Linked DNA regions of Pelodiscus sinensis. The protein of the gene in region 1 interacts with the protein of each later gene in a biochemical or structural test. Links are inferred from orthologs where the notes say so. Each region holds a gene or a part of one and is shown on either strand. Other genes may lie near its edges. The genes, in order: T-cell surface antigen CD2 and CD2 antigen cytoplasmic tail-binding protein 2.

Evidence for each region.
Region 2: the proteins of T-cell surface antigen CD2 (region 1) and CD2 antigen cytoplasmic tail-binding protein 2 interact in a biophysical measurement, tested with the Homo sapiens proteins (6 studies listed by BioGRID and IntAct, with this or other methods). The link is inferred for Pelodiscus sinensis from reciprocal best matches to the Homo sapiens genes CD2 and CD2BP2.

What each region holds. Positions count from the first base shown.
Region 1 is NC_134711.1:162,236,920-162,244,034, forward strand, and holds the start of T-cell surface antigen CD2, read left to right. Parts: upstream 1-4,096; 5' UTR 4,097-4,754; coding exon 4,755-4,815; intron 4,816-5,977; exon of another isoform or gene 5,978-6,099; intron 6,100-7,115. UniProt on the Homo sapiens protein: CD2 interacts with lymphocyte function-associated antigen CD58 (LFA-3) and CD48/BCM1 to mediate adhesion between T-cells and other cell types. CD2 is implicated in the triggering of T-cells, the cytoplasmic domain is implicated in the signaling function.
Region 2 is NC_134714.1:134,633,177-134,640,986, forward strand, and holds the start of CD2 antigen cytoplasmic tail-binding protein 2, read left to right. Parts: upstream 1-4,744; 5' UTR 4,745-4,920; intron 4,921-6,150; 5' UTR 6,151-6,164; coding exon 6,165-6,239; intron 6,240-6,541; coding exon 6,542-6,689; intron 6,690-7,810. Other genes in the region: sesquipedalian-1-like, read right to left, coding at 2,096-2,671. UniProt on the Homo sapiens protein: Involved in pre-mRNA splicing as component of the U5 snRNP complex that is involved in spliceosome assembly.

The DNA.
Region 1 (7,115 bases):
ATTAGTAGGCTTACATGGTGGCATAATCTTGGTCCTTACTGGTGGCAGCCCATGCTTCCTTATAAGGTGACACTCCATGCTTCCTTATAACTGGGAGGACTAGAGTATAAACTTTCCCACCAGTGTGCAAAAGATGATTCATACCCATATTCTCTTCAAGAACTTTTCTGTTTTTGCAAGGGGTAGTGATCTGAGAGATGGCCTTCTTTGTTCTGGTGTTCTAACTCCTTTAAGTGTTTCTTTCAGTCTAGGTGTCTCACCAACTGCTTTAATACAAATATATTAACTCCTACATTTATTGGTTCTATATGTTGGTATAATACAAAATGTGCATGAATATTCTGCATGGTTGCATTATGTAACATGAAGTCAATATCACATCTTTGTATACTATATATATAGAACATAGGAATTATGATCTATTCTGTAGAAGAAATTTACCAAAAATTCAGTACACCAGTTATGGATACATTAATAATTAGCATTCATTAAAACTATTGCTGAGTGAGTGTTACCATTGGCCTGGAAGCAATAATGGCATTACCTTGGTGGAAGTCTAAACAAACATGGGCCCCTTCTGTGCTTCCAGATGTACAGGAGTAACCAATAGCTTTTTCTCATGCACACAAATGTAAGTTGACACTGCTATATCTTTTGTCACTTTTATAAACCCATTTTAGGGATGTCAATGGGAGTCATCATTGAACCATTGACGTTGAGGACCAAGGGAATTAGAGGGAATAGCCATTTATGATGGTAAGTATATAGGTGTTCTGGTACATCAGGGCCAGGGAGTAGTGAGAGAGTGCTAGAGGAGAGATATGTGAGCACTAGGCGAATTAAGGCATGGTTCACTATGGACTAGGGAAGGCTAATTGAAGCACCTGTAACCAGTTAAGGCCCTGTCAGGAACCTAATTAGAATGCTGTATCACATTAATGTGTGACTCCTTGTAGACTAGTGAAGGTTACTGCAGGCCAATTGAAGCACCTGTAACCAATTAAGCCCCTATCAGGAATCTAATAACCCCTGGCCCGTGATTCAAGGCAGACAGTGTGGAGTGAGGAAGAAGAGAGCACTGGAGTTTGGAGCTGTGTTGCTGAGACTTAAAAGGAAGGAAGACCCTGTCCCAACACATTGGGGGATTCCCTCCGCCAGCCTCAAGGACAGAGGGTAACCCTAATCAAGGGGGAAGAGAATAAGAAACTTGCAGGGATTGAGAGGGGCTGAGGCTCAGACCCAGACTTTTTCCTTGCTTCCCTTCTCTACCACCTTCCTGTGCCACTAGCTGGGACATTAGAGCAGGGACAATGGGTGATAACCTAGCCCCGCACCAAAAATAGCACAGGAGCCATCATACTATGATGTTGAGGGTGAGATTTTTGTGCTGAGAATATAACACAGGGTAGGTCATGACCAATCTATCCCCAAGCTGGAGGAATGGTCGAAGCACTGGTGCAAGCCACCACTACCCAGCAGGAGACTGTGCAGCACCAGCCAGGATCAGGCCATACTATAGGAACTAGTAAACCAGGTAAAGGATGTTAGAAAGATGAGCCGTGGCTATGAAGGGATTATACAGGCTAGCTACTGTCTACAGAAAACAACACAGGAGGAGGAGGTGATGGGGCACTTCCTGACCTCTGAGAGAACAGCCTTGTGGTTGGGCATCCTCACCCCCTACTTGTGCAGGGAGGCCCAGAAGGCGTACTATGATATGACCACAGAGGAGTTGGCAGACTACCCCCCCAGCTAAAGGCAGAGATTCTGGCCAGCTCCAAGGTAACGACAATTGCTCTGGTTGGTAGGCAGCACCGTCAGGGAAACTGCAAGGTAGCACAAACCGGTGGAAACCTAGAGACAGCTCCCAGCGCAAGCTGAAGTATTCCAAGGTCTGGAGGGGAGACCAATCCAATAGAATCAAGCCAGGTCAGTCCTGCACATGAGTGTTTGGGTGGGACTAAGCCTATGACCACCCACTGTATGCTAATGCCGTATCATAGTGATCTGTTTGGGAGACATTTAGGAGCAGCTAAGACTGGGTAGAGTCCTAAGGAGATTATACTGGCTGGGTGCATAAGCAAAAGTCCAGGCAGTGTTATTAGACTGAGGCAAAAGAAAGGAAAGACAAAGAGCATGGGGGGGAAAGTACACCTGTGGGAGACAATATGACAGCAGGAATCAACATCTCAGGTGCTGTTTGGGATATAGATAAAACCCTGGTGCAAGATCTGAGGGTTTTTTCTGCAGCCATCTTAGGAAAGCAGCAGCCATGAACAAAGAAACAGGAAGTGACGTCCTCACATTCCATCTGTCTTAGTCAAGGTAGCTCTGCCCTTTGCTACACGGCTGTGAATCTGTTGTTATAAAGGTAGCTAAAAGCAAATCTTTAAACTGCCTGGTCACCAGTCGCTGATAAGACTATGGGCTGTGTTCATTTTACTCCATGTTGTAAGGGAAAGTCAACACCTGAGACAGAAATCATATTTTCTATATTTTGTATTCTTTTCTCTCCCCTTTTGTGTATACATTAGTTCAGTTTTGGTTTGAAGGAAGCAGGATCAGATTCTAGCAACTTCAACTAACTTTTCCTCCTTTCCCCCAAAAGACATTGTTCCCATTGTTAATACCACCACTGTCAGATGAGGGAGAGGGAGAGGGAGAGCTTTCCTTATAAAAAGTAGCTACAATGAAAGGGAATAAGCAATATGGTTAAAAGAAAAGTCTCACCAAAGGCCAGGACTATGCTAATGGATTACTTTGCTGTAAATACATTGCTCAGGGATATGAGAAATCCCCACCCTGAGCAACAAAGTTACATTGACCTAAGCGCTGGGGTAGTGTAGCCAGATAGAACCCCCCCACCCCTCCCCTTCTCCCTCTGACATCCTTGGGAGAGAGAATCCTTGAGAGTGAAACTCTGTCTTCAAAGGCTCCAGGGCCTTCAGAGGTGACAATGGCTCTGGATGCTAGAAAGGAACCAGATAACAGGGCAATTGGTCCAGCAGGCGATCGGGGCCTCGAGCTGCCCTTGGCTAGTACCAGTATTGATACGCCTACACACACCGTCCTAGAAGAGGAATCTGCTGCCCCATCAGAAAGAATGTCCGGCCCTAATGATTTAGTTACCTCCACCTCACAGGTGCAAATTAAGCTTTGGACCCCCTGTGGGAATGGGCGTCACAAAGACGTTCCAACTTAATTGGCATTTTAATGACAAGAAAAGCGTCTACGTGACCACAGGGGTATAAAGTTGGGCCCTGTGCTCCACTCTAATTGGAGATCCACCCATATACCTGCTGGTCAGGCGGTCTTGGACCCCTGAGACTTTAGAGACGCCTTCATCTCGTATCGACTGCTTCCCATTGGGATTGAGAGAAGCGCTGGCTTCACCGGAGCAAGGATCGCAGGGGTGAGAATATACCTGCTAGGTGTTTATTTTTGCGTGCATTCAATAAGAGCTCAGAGAAGCAAAAGGATTCCATGGTACCTTTAAGTGACTGTTATTGTATTTTCTGTCTTGTCTTTGTAGTGGCTGCGTTATCTGCAATGCAGCAGTAACATTTAACAGCTAAGCTTGCCTTGTAACAATAAAATAGTAACTGTTTAAACTTTTAACCTGACTCCTCCTGTTGCTGTAACAGAACCAAACACAATAAAAAAGAACCATAGCCAGTCAGGGGTAAATGCAGTAAGAGCTGAGCGTTGAGTTGTGCCGCCTCCACAGGGCAGACTCTTGGGGCGCCCGTCAGCCTCCCTGGCTGCCCGCTGCAAAGTGACTCTGTCCTAGCAGTCAAAGACTCGGGTGTGATAGGACTCACAGACCACTCATTATCCCGGCCACCGGCTAACAGGTAGACAGCATTATGTCAGTAGGAGAGCTTCTCCCACCAACATGCCTGCTGCCTCTCGCAGGGGTGGATGAACTGTGCCGACAGGCGAGCTCTCTCCCATTGGCACCGAGCATCTTCACTAACATGCTGTGGAGATGCAGTTGCATCAGTGTAGCTTTGTGGATGCAGCGTTGCAAGTGTAGACCTGCCTTCCCGCTTTTAAATTTGAAAAATTGTAACCAATCTTTTCCTCCTTTTTCTGTGCTTTCAACAAAGCTTGCATAGAACTGCTAATTACAGGTGACCTGCATAAAGTCTGGAGTTCAGTCTCTGTTCAAAAGCCTCTCAAAGTTCAAATTCTTGTTTGAAGCTACTTTGAAGCTTCTGTTATCTACACAAAACACGTCCTCTAAACAGACTTCAGCAAATTCTTAAACTGCTGGCTAGTCCCTGAAGATCCTGGAGAGAGAAAGCTGGTTGCTGGGCCCTCTTTCATTCTCACCCAACAAGACCTCCCAAAGCAGGTCAAATGTGGCAGCAGAAGAATAGTAAGGCTTCCTCACATCTCTTCCTCTGGGATATGGATGAAGAAGCAATCAAGGTCCTTCTCTGAACATCGAAGGAAGATGTGGCTCAGGTTCTGTTCTCAAGTTGGACAAAATTGGGGGTTAATTCTGATGTTTGAGACATTTACTTTCCTAGTCCCTGCAAGTTGTCCCTCAATCTTGGACAGAGTACCAGATTCACTCCGTTCACGTGTGTGACAGAAATGAGACGTGTCACAGCGAGCAAGAGGAGGAGGGGACAAGAGGTGCAAGGGCTATGCTGACACACTGAAAGACTGCTGATCATAATAGAACTTCATCTGTCTGGCTAGGAGCTTTCTTCACGCAGGGATAGTTTGGAGCTAGGATTTTGAAAATGAGCATTAGGGGGATTTTATTAGCCAAGTGCCTGGTGGTGTTGTTCTTCTGTGTAACAGGTGAGTTTGCACCGGCTTTTTGCTCTTTCAGGCTGGCTTTGCTTAAACTTTGCACTTCAAAGCATTTTTAACTGCAGTAGATTAACACCCATTCCTTGTACCCAGAAAAGGATGCTGGACTTCTTAACAGGGTGATGAATTAGACCCATCTATGCCACAATTCTAATTGACTCTGGGATCCAGTTACAATATGACCACTTTTTTAAGTTGGATGGGACCTATAACTGGCTCCAGGGGTTTCACCCAGTTATGAGAATTTGGGGTCACGGCATATTTTAAGCCTTTTCCCCTGACTCAGTGATAGTTCATGAGCAAATTATTACCAATATGTTTTAGATTATTTCTTCAGTAGTGTTTTTAATATAGAAATGTGTTATCAAAACTAAACATGACCGATTCCTACCTCTGCCAAACACCCTCTATATAATGCTAAATAGGGAAGCTTGGGGCAGGACGGGTGATCCGATAAAAATGCTTCGCTCTAACTTACATATCATGGGCCACATTCTTCCCCTGGTATAACTCTGCCGAAAGCAGAAATGAATTTGTCCCCTGGTCTGTACGAGGGTATTGCTATTGTTACAGCAAGTGCAGGGCAAATAAATCATTTAAAGGGCCCCCCCAAACTGTACCTAGCCCTTGTGAAGATCAGATATTTGAGGACCTGGCAATGGGGACTTTTAGGGTAAAATTCTGGCCCTGATCCTTTGCCATTGACTTTAAGAGAGCCAAGATTTCATCCTCAAACCCTTAGGGCTCAATACAGCCAAGTTATCAGTACTCTGTCCCCAGTCCAGGCAAAGTGCTTAAGAACATGCTTCACTTTAGGCATGCGAGTTGTCCCTTTGACTTCAAAAGAACTATTCACGTGCTTAGATTGAAACATGTACTCAAATGCTTTGCTGTTGGGGACAGAATGCTCAGCTCCTGGTAGGATCAAGCACTGCCCTAACTTTTCCCATTGGTAAAATGGAGATAATGATATTAACTTACCTTAGAAAAGTGCTTTAAGATCTTGTGACTATTAGTATTTTATTTAGCCTTCAGTCCATGGGAACCCATAACCTATGGTTGCTATTATAATTTTTGTAATAATACACTGTAAATGATTTTATCTTCAAGTTAACAATTCTTTGTAAATGATTTTATCTTCAAGTTAACAATTCTTTATCTGATAGGTAGGTGTAAGCATGGAGTTTTATCTGATGTCCTCAGTGAAACACTTTTTTGCAATCCTCTTCAAGAGAGACTTCACTGTGCATCATGTAGATCTGTTGCTCTTTTCTAGAAAATAACATTTTATTAAAGAGAAACAAAATTGTAGACAGTGCAAGTATTTTTACACATGAATGTTGATAGAAAGGATGATATATACAAATAATTATATAGCTCAGTGGAGTTAATCTTATTTGTAAGTTACATTAGGGACATACTTATTGGTATTTAACCTTTTAAAAAGACTTGGATCTAAAAATGTAGTTGTAATTTGTAAACTAAAATCATAACAAGAAATAGTGGATCCAGTACACAAGAATCATTAATGAATGATGTGAATAAATCCAACAGTAGATTATTTATGATGGCTGTTTAATATTTTCTATATAGAATTACTAGATAAATAGGGAGTATGTTGTTGCTATGGACTTAAAACATATATTTCCTTGAATGGCTTTATTTGTTTCAAGTGCTTGACACTTGAAAAGTGAGTGCTTCTTTTCTCAGACGGGTAAAGTTACTGTAAGCACTGCTCCTTTTAGTTTAGTGCATATGCTACAAGACTACAAGAGAGCAGTTTGTAGCTAGATTCTCATCACTTGGTCCTTGGCAGAAGTATTTCAGTTGGCATGATCACAAATATTGTTTCATTGTCCAGACAGATGACTTACTGTTGTCTGGGATGTTCAGGCTTCTGTTCCAATGATATGGGAGACCAAGCAAACTTTAAAGCAAACTTTTAAAGACCTATCAGAATTGTCTGTCAATTAGAATACCATTTGAGCTTTCCTTCCTCAGGATTTTGATCAACCTTTTCCTCTTTGCCACATGCAAAATATAAATATATTATTATAGAATTTGCAATAGAAATAATGACTAATAATCACTCAAATCTCTGGGAGTAATTCTGAGGAATTGCAAGTATCTAAATTAAATGTATGTTTATTTGTTTAAAAAAAGTTTTACAAAGATTTTTGGTGCTCCTGTTAACACTTATTGGGGAATGAATAGTATTAAAATAGTTCCACTTCCAGGAGTGAGTGATTTCTGAATGTTCCATTAGGAATGCCAAATGCTTTTTAAGA
Region 2 (7,810 bases), on another chromosome or scaffold:
GAAAATAAGCACGACCACATATCCCAAAGGGATACAACCAAAACAAAGTGAACACGCATAAAAAGGACAAATCGAATTTCAGAGGGGGGGGGAGAGGGGTAAATGTCTGTGAGCTAATGCTATTGGAGGTGATAATTGGGGAAGCTCTTTGGAATGGGTAAGATAATTAATGTCTTTGTTAAGACCCCAGCGTAAAGTGTCGAATTGAAGCATGAATGACAGTTCCGAGGTTTCTCTTTCAAGTCTGGTGTTAATGTCTTTGAAGCAGGATGCAGGCGTCACCTAATAAACCATCTTGTTAGTCTGTAAAGTGCCGCACAGCCCTGGCTGGTGTTTCAGACTCTCACGGCTGCATCTCTAGTACTATGGGGCTAGTCTGGCTCTTCCAGGGGCTCCGGGCTGCAGGTCTCTGAGAAGCATCAGTCGGGGGCTGTTCTTCCAAGGCCACTGGCCTTTAGATCTGAGAACCCTCGGGGAGGGGAGCGTGGCTCTTTGCTGCTCAGTGGCTGGGTGCGTGGGAGGCCACCCAGGAGGGTTTCAGATGCTGCCCAGCGGATTAGCAGAGCACCCATGGCCGGCAGCCTGCTTCTCCTGGTGGTGCACGTTTCACAGGTCTCAGTGCAGAGAACACCTATTCCGCCCGGGGGGATGAGAGGGAACATGGGTTGGGGTGCTGCGTCTCTGAAGATCGCTGGGTTGAGGGCCTTTGAGTCCTTGGTCTGGGGGGGGGGGGGTCTCTGCCCCTTGAAAGGGGTGAGGGTGTCCCAGATGAATAGGCTTTGTGCTCTGGAGCAGCCCGGAGTGGATCGTGGCTAGGCTGCCTCGTGTGGCACTCTCCTAGGGTACACCCTGCGGGCCCTGCCTCAGAGCTGTCAGCACCCGTTCCACACTGCGAGCTCCCTTCAGGGACGTCTGCCAGTCTGGATCAGCGTAGAAAGCAGGATGTTCCAGCCAGCCCCAGCCCCTAGGTCTCTGCCCCAGGGGTAGGGGCCCCAGCCCCAGGGGTAGGGGCCCCAGCCCCAAGCTTTGCTTTCCAGCGGGTCAGAATGGGCCAGCTTCCTGCCAGTGCAGGCTCAGCGGTTGCCAGGTACCACTGGCTGCCTGTTGGTTGGGCCCAAGACGCTAGTAGAGGCGGGCTGGGCTAGGGGGTCTCTGCAGACTCACCCCCTTGTCCCGCCACAGGGTGAATCACGCAGCCTGCCTGGAAATGGAGACCCCCAGTATCCACACCACTGGGTTCTGGTCTTGGGGGTATGGGGCACTGGCCTGAGATGAGCCTCAGTTCCCTGAGGGCCACTCTGAGGCTAGTGAGAGCCAGGACTCCTGGGCTCTATTCCCGGCTCACTGGGGTTAGTGGCGGAGCAGTGGCCACGGGGGACCAGGCTCTGCATGCTGGAGGGGCGAAGCCTGGACGGTGTGTGCTGCGCCAGTGGAGGTTGGGTGAGGGCAGCAGGAGCCTGGCTGATCTCCTAGGGCAGGAAACGGTTGTTGAAGGCGGTCAGAGCCGCAGGCAGGGCCCTGATGGAGCGTTTCCTGCTTTGCCTGTCCCTGTGGCCCGAGAGCCTCCTTTGGCTGAATGAATGGGGATTTCTCAGACCCACAAGTTGAGCCCAGTGCAGCAGTGGGGGGAGCTCTCACCGGGCAGGCAGGACGTTTGTTCCGCACAGCACCCGCTGGAGTAGCCAGGAGCTCCCCTGCCCCAGCCGTTGCCCTGCCCCCTGCACTCAGCGCCCCCCACTGCTGGCCAGAGGTGACCAAACAGTGAATTCACGTGGCTGAGCCCAGGCCCCGACAGAACACGTTTATTATTGGAAAAGCATCGCCTCAGTGCAAAGGTTTGGCCTTGAAAGGTCCCCACTTCCCGAAGAACCGCAAGGCAGAGGGAGCATCTCTGCCTCCTTAACCCGGGGGGGAGGGTTTCTAGTCCATCCAAGCCAGACACGGCCCCTTCCCATTCTGTCTGTCCCTTGAGCTGAGCTTGCAGCCCCTGCTAGCCCACCCTGGGTCCCCCACACTGCATGTTTCTCCTGCATTGGATGGCATGGAATAGGACTCCCCTACCCCCTCTGGCTCTTCTCCTTTCCCTGCTCCCGTCCTACCCCAAATCAATCAGGTCTCCCTGTGTTGGCTGGGTCCCTTCTGCCCTGGCCTCCTTCCACTTCGCCCGCAGCTTCACAATCTCCTTCCCAAACTGCTGGTGCAGCCCCTCAAAGTCTGGCAATCCCACCGCTGACACCACTGGGCGGTGCTGAACAGCCCATTCCTTTGGCGGGGCAACCCCATTGGCCCGGTACTGTCCCTCTAGCTCAGTCACCAGAGCCCGCAGGTAGTCAAAGCTGGCCGTGCTCAGAGCCCGTACCCAGCCCTCCATGGAGGCCTGGTCTTCGGCAGCCATCTTGTAAGCTCGGTGGCCCGACCGGTAGGAGATTTCAAAGGTGAAAGGCTCTGTGGCGGATTCCTGTAGCTCCACCGTGCAGCCCTCCAGCAGGATCAGCCCCAGCGGCTCCCGGTCCCCCTGCCGCTCCCAGTAGAAGAGCAAGTTCCCTCGCAGTTCGCACCAGCGGCGCTGGTAGGTGCTGCTGCGTTCGCTCTTCTTGTACAGCCGGCCCTGGCGGTCGGGGGGCACTGCCACGCGGGAGTAGCCCAGGACGCCGGTTTCATGCAACTTCATGTGGGCAGGGACCTGAGAGAGGGGAGACAGGGAACAGGACGTGGGGCCTTTCCCGGGCAGGGCCCCAGCCCCAGGGCAGGGAACGGGACGTGGGGCCTTTCCCGGGCAGGGGCCCAGCCCCAGGGCAGGGAACGGGACGTGGGGCCTTTCCCGGGCAGGGCCCCAGCCCCAGGGCAGGGAACGGGATATGGGGCCTTTCCCGGGCAGGGGCCCATCCCCAGGGCAGGGAACGGGACGTGGGGCCTTTCCCGGGCAGGGCCCCAGGGCAGGGAACGGGACGTGGGGCCTTTCCCGGGCAGGGGCCCAGCCCCAGGGCAGGGAACGGGACGTGGGGCCTTTCCCGGGCAGGGCCCCAGGGCAGGGAACGGGACGTGGGGCCTTTCCCGGGCAGGGGCCCAGCCCCAGGGCAGGGAACGGGACGTGGGGCCTTTCCCGGGCAGGGCCCCAGGGCAGGGAACGGGACGTGGGGCCTTTCCCGGGCAGGGGCCCAGCCCCAGGGCAGGGAACGGGACGTGGGGCCTTTCCCGGGCAGGGCCCCAGGGCAGGGAACGGGACGTGGGGCCTTTCCCGGGCAGGGGCCCAGCCCCAGGGCAGGGAACGGGACGTGGGGCCTTTCCCGGGCAGGGGGCCCAGCCCCAGCCCCAGCCCCAGGGCAGGGAACGGGACGTGGGGCCTTTCCCGGGCAGGGGCCCAGCCCCAGGGCAGGGAACGGGATGTGGGGCCTTTCCCGGGCAGGGGGCCCAGCCCCAGGGCAGGGAACGGGATGTGGGGCCTTTCCCGGGCAGGGGCCCAGCCCCAGGGCAGGGAACGGGATGTGGGGCCTTTCCCGGGCAGGGGGCCCAGCCCCAGCCCCAGCCCCAGGGCAGGGAACGGGATATGGGGCCTTTCCCGGGCAGGGGCCCAGCCCCAGGGCAGGGAACGGGATGTGGGGCCTTTCCCGGGCAGGGGGCCCCAGGGCAGGGAACGGGACGTGGGGCCTTTCCCGGGCAGGGCCCCAGCCCCAGGGCAGGGAACGGGACATGGGGCCCAGGGCTGGGGGCCCGGAGTTCAGGGCAAGGCTGGCTCAGGGGGCCCAGCGCAGAGGGCCCAGGGCAGGGCAAGGGGAGCGGGGCGCAGGGCGGGGCCCGGGCCTAGGGGGCCAGGGCGGGAGGCTCAGCAAGGGGGGCTCGGGGCGGGGCAAGTCGGGGGGGGCGGGGCGCAGGGCGGGGGGTTCGGGGCGGGGGACTCAGCACGGGAGCCCAGGGCGGGGCTCAGCTCGGGGGGGCGGGGCTCGGGGCGGGGGGGGCGGGGCCCGGGCCTGGGGGGCTCGGGGCTCGGCGCGGGGGGGGCTCGGGGCGGGGGGGGGCGGGGCTCGGGGCGGGGGGCTCAGCTCAGGGGGGGCGGGGCTCGGGGCGGGGCCTGAGACGGGGGGTTCGGGGCGGGGGACTCAGCACGGGAGCCCAGGGCAGGGCACAGGGCTCAGCGCGGGGGGGCGGGGCTCGGGGGGCTCAGCGCGGGGGGGCGGGGCTCGGGGCGGGGGGGCTTAGCTCGGGGGGGGGGCGGGGCCCGGGCCTGGGGGCGGGGGGGCTCAGCTCGGGGGGGGGGGGGGCTCGGGGAGGGGGGGGGCCGCTCCCCGCCCGGGCTCGTTACCTGGCTCCTGCCCGGCTCTGCCCGCGCGGCTGCTCCCTCCCGGCCCCGCCCCCCGGAAGTGTCTCGCGGCAGCCAGGGCGCGGCCGGCTCCGCTCGGTCCTAAGGCGACCCGGGTTCGCGGGGGGGGGCAGGGCCCCACTCGCCCCCCCCCCCCGGTGAAACACGAGGGGCCGGGCCCCTTGCCCCCCCCCCGGAAAACAGGGGGGGCCGGTGCGCCTGCCGGGGGGGGCGCAGGGGGCGTGGCCCCGTGGAGGGGGAGGGGCCTATGCCCTGGGCCTGTCCCGTCAGACCCGAGGTGCTGGGGGGGGGGGGGGCGGGGCGCTTGCTGCCCCTTTAAGCGTTGCCATGACTCCCGCTCCGCACGGCAGCCAATGAAGCCGCAGCTAGCGGTGGCTGCCCGGAGAAAACGTCACTTCCGGCCCCTCCGCCAACCCGCCGTTGGGCTCCTGCGCGATGGGGGGCCCTCGCTCAGGTGCCATTGTGACGTCACCTATCGCGCTATTCGCCCGAACGAGATCAACCCGGCGCGAGAGGCGGGGCGAGGGCCTGCGGCGACGTCACATCCGGGCAGAGTGACCCGGAAGTGGCTGCCGCGCGAGGGCGCTCTGCGAGCCCCGGAGGTGAGTGAGTGGCGCAGCCGATGGGGGCGCTGATCTGCATATGCAAATGAGGGGCTGTGAGGGTCTTGGGGTCCCGCTGGTACCGGGGCGCCCGGCCCGAGCCGAACGGGCTGATTTGCATATGCAAATGAGGCGGCAGGACCCGTACTGCGCATTTCCCCCGGGCCGGACTATTGCATCTTATTTGCATATGCAAATTAGGCATCACAGGGGGGCCCTTGGCTGGGCTGAACCGAGCGCTTGGGCCCGCCCAGCACGGTGGAAGCGAGTCATTTGCATATGCAAATTGGGAAGCTGCGAGGCTGGAGTTTGGGCCCGTGTCCCTGCGGGGCGGGGCCTGGGGGGCTCATTTGCATATGCAAATGCACGTTGTGCCCGGGGCGGGTTTGCAGCCTGGCGCAGAGAGGATGCTCCGGTGGCGCCTCGCCTGAGGCCGGGTCTCTGGCGTGTCATTGGCCTGTGGGGCTGCAGGTGCCTGGGGCCGCGGGGCCCGTCGTGTGGGGCTGCAGGTGCCTGGGGCCGCGGGGCCCGTCGTGTGGGGCTGCAGGTGCCTGGGGCCGCGGGGCCCGTCGTGTGGGGCTGCAGGTGCCTGGGGCCGCGGGGCCCGTCGTGTGGGGCTGCGGGTGCCTGGGGCCGCGGGGCCCGTCGTGTGGGGCTGCGGGTGCTAGGGGCAGCGGGGCCCGTCGTGTGGGGCTGCGGGTGCTAGGGGCCGCGGGGCCCGTCGTGTGGGGCTGCGGGTGCTAGGGGCAGCGGGGCCCGTCGTGTGGGGCTGCGGGTGCTAGGGGCCGCGGGGCCCGTCGTGTGGGGCTGCGGGTGCTAGGGGCCGCGGGGCCCGTCGTGTGGGGCTGCGGGTGCCTGGGGCCGCGGGGCCCGTCGTGTGGGGCTGCGGGTGCTAGGGGCAGCGGGGCCCGTCGTGTGGGGCTGCAGGTGCCTGGGGCCGCGGGGCCCGTCGTGTGGGGCTGCAGGTGCTAGGGGCCGCGGGGCCCGTCGTGTGGGGCTGCAGGTGCTAGGGGCCGCGGGCCCGTCGTGTGGGGCTGCAGGTGCTAGGGGCCGCGGGGCCCGTCGTGTGGGGCTGCAGGTGCTAGGGGCCGCGGGGCCCGTCGTGTGGGGCTGCGGGTGCTAGGGGCCGCGGGGCCCGTCGTGTGGGGCTGCAGGTGCTAGGGGCAGCGGGGCCCGTCGTGTGGGGCTGCAGCGGCGGACGCCCCCTTCCTTACTCACCTCCCTCCCCAGAGCATCGGGCCACCATGCCCAAGCGCAAGGTGACATTTGAGGACCAGGTGGAGGGGGACGAGGAGGAGCTGGCCATGCCCAAGAAGAAGGTGAGTTATGAGGGCAGGGATGTGGGGAGGGATCTCTGTGGGGCAGTGAGGCATGGGGGAGGGATACAAAGGGGAGGCCTGTTGTGCGGGTGGGGACGTGAGAGAGGTCTCTGGAGGTACCCTGGTGAAGGGTACAGGTCTCTGTTGGGAGTTGGAGGGGGTCGCTGGAGAGGGTGTGACCATGGGGTATTTGAGGGTTCTCCTGGGTGTCTCAGGATGATGCTGGTGAGTGGGGGGCCTGTTGCATCAAGGTGCTGTGTTTTGGGATGACCAAGGGAATCTAAGTCTCCCTCTCTCCCCAGCTGGCAGAGCCTGGCCTGGGGGCCAGCGGCCCCGGGAGCCGCTTCAAGGGCAAACACTCCTTGGACAGCGACGAGGAAGACGAGGATGAGGAGGGCGATGACGGCCGGGCCAGTAAATACGACATCCTGGCATCGGAGGACGTGGAGGGTGAGACCCTCGGCAGGGGAGACCAAGCTGAGTGGGCAAAGATCTGGGGAGGGGGACCCTGGGGAGTGGGTGGGAAGAAGGGAAGGATGGGAGGCAGGTGAGGGGTGAGTGTATGATCCGGGGGGAAGGAGGGGAGAATGGGGGCTGGAGAGTGCTCCTGTGGGGAGAAGTGGGGGGTCCTGCCTCGGTAGACCAATCTGGGGCTGTGCAGAGCAGGGGAGACAGGGTAGTAATGAAGTTGGGGAAATGGCAGCAGGTCTGATGGGCAGGGGGGTCTCCCAGGGGTAGGAAGTGGGGAAGACAGTGGTGGGACTGACAGGTCACAGGGTCTCCAGAGGCAGGGGCAGGAGGCAGGGAAACTGGTGGGGTAGTGTTGAGGGAGCAAACTGTGGCGGGGCTGGTGGGCAGCAGGTGACTGTGGCGGGGCTGATGACTGGGCAGGTGATAACCGTGGATGGAGGAGCTGAGGAGTAGGGGGATGACCATGGCGGGGATGACAGGTGGCCAGGGGGTGAGCGTGGCGGGGCTGGTGGGCAGGGGGTGAGCGTGGCGGGGCTGGTGGGCAGAGGGTGAATGTGGCGGGGCTGGTGGGCAGAGGGTGAGCGTGGTGGGGCTGACGGGCGGGGGGTGAGCGTGGCGGGGCTGACGGGCGGGGAGTGAGCGTGGCGGGGCTGGGGGTAGGGGGTGAGCATGGCGGGGCTGACGGGCAGGGGGTGAGCGTGGCGGGGCTGACGGGCAGGGGGTGAGCGTGGCGGGGCTGACAGGCGGGGGGTGAGCGTGGCGGGGCTGGGGGTAGGGGGTGAGCGTGGCGGGGCTGACGGGTAGGGGGTGAGCGTGGTGGGGCTGACGGGCGGGGGGTGAGCGTGGCGGGGCTGACGGGCGGGGGGTTAGCGTGGCATGCTGGGGGTAGGGGGTGAGCGTGGCGGGGCTGACGGGCGGGGGGTGAGCGTGGCGGGGCTGGGGGTAGGGGGTGAGCGTGGCGGGGCTGACGGGTAGGGGGTGAGCGTGGCGGGGCTGACGGGCGGGGGGTTAGCGTGGCGGGGCTGACGGGTAGGGGGCGAGCGTGGCGGGGCTGGGGGCAGGGGGTGAGCGTGGCGGGGCTGACGGGCGGGGAGTGAGCG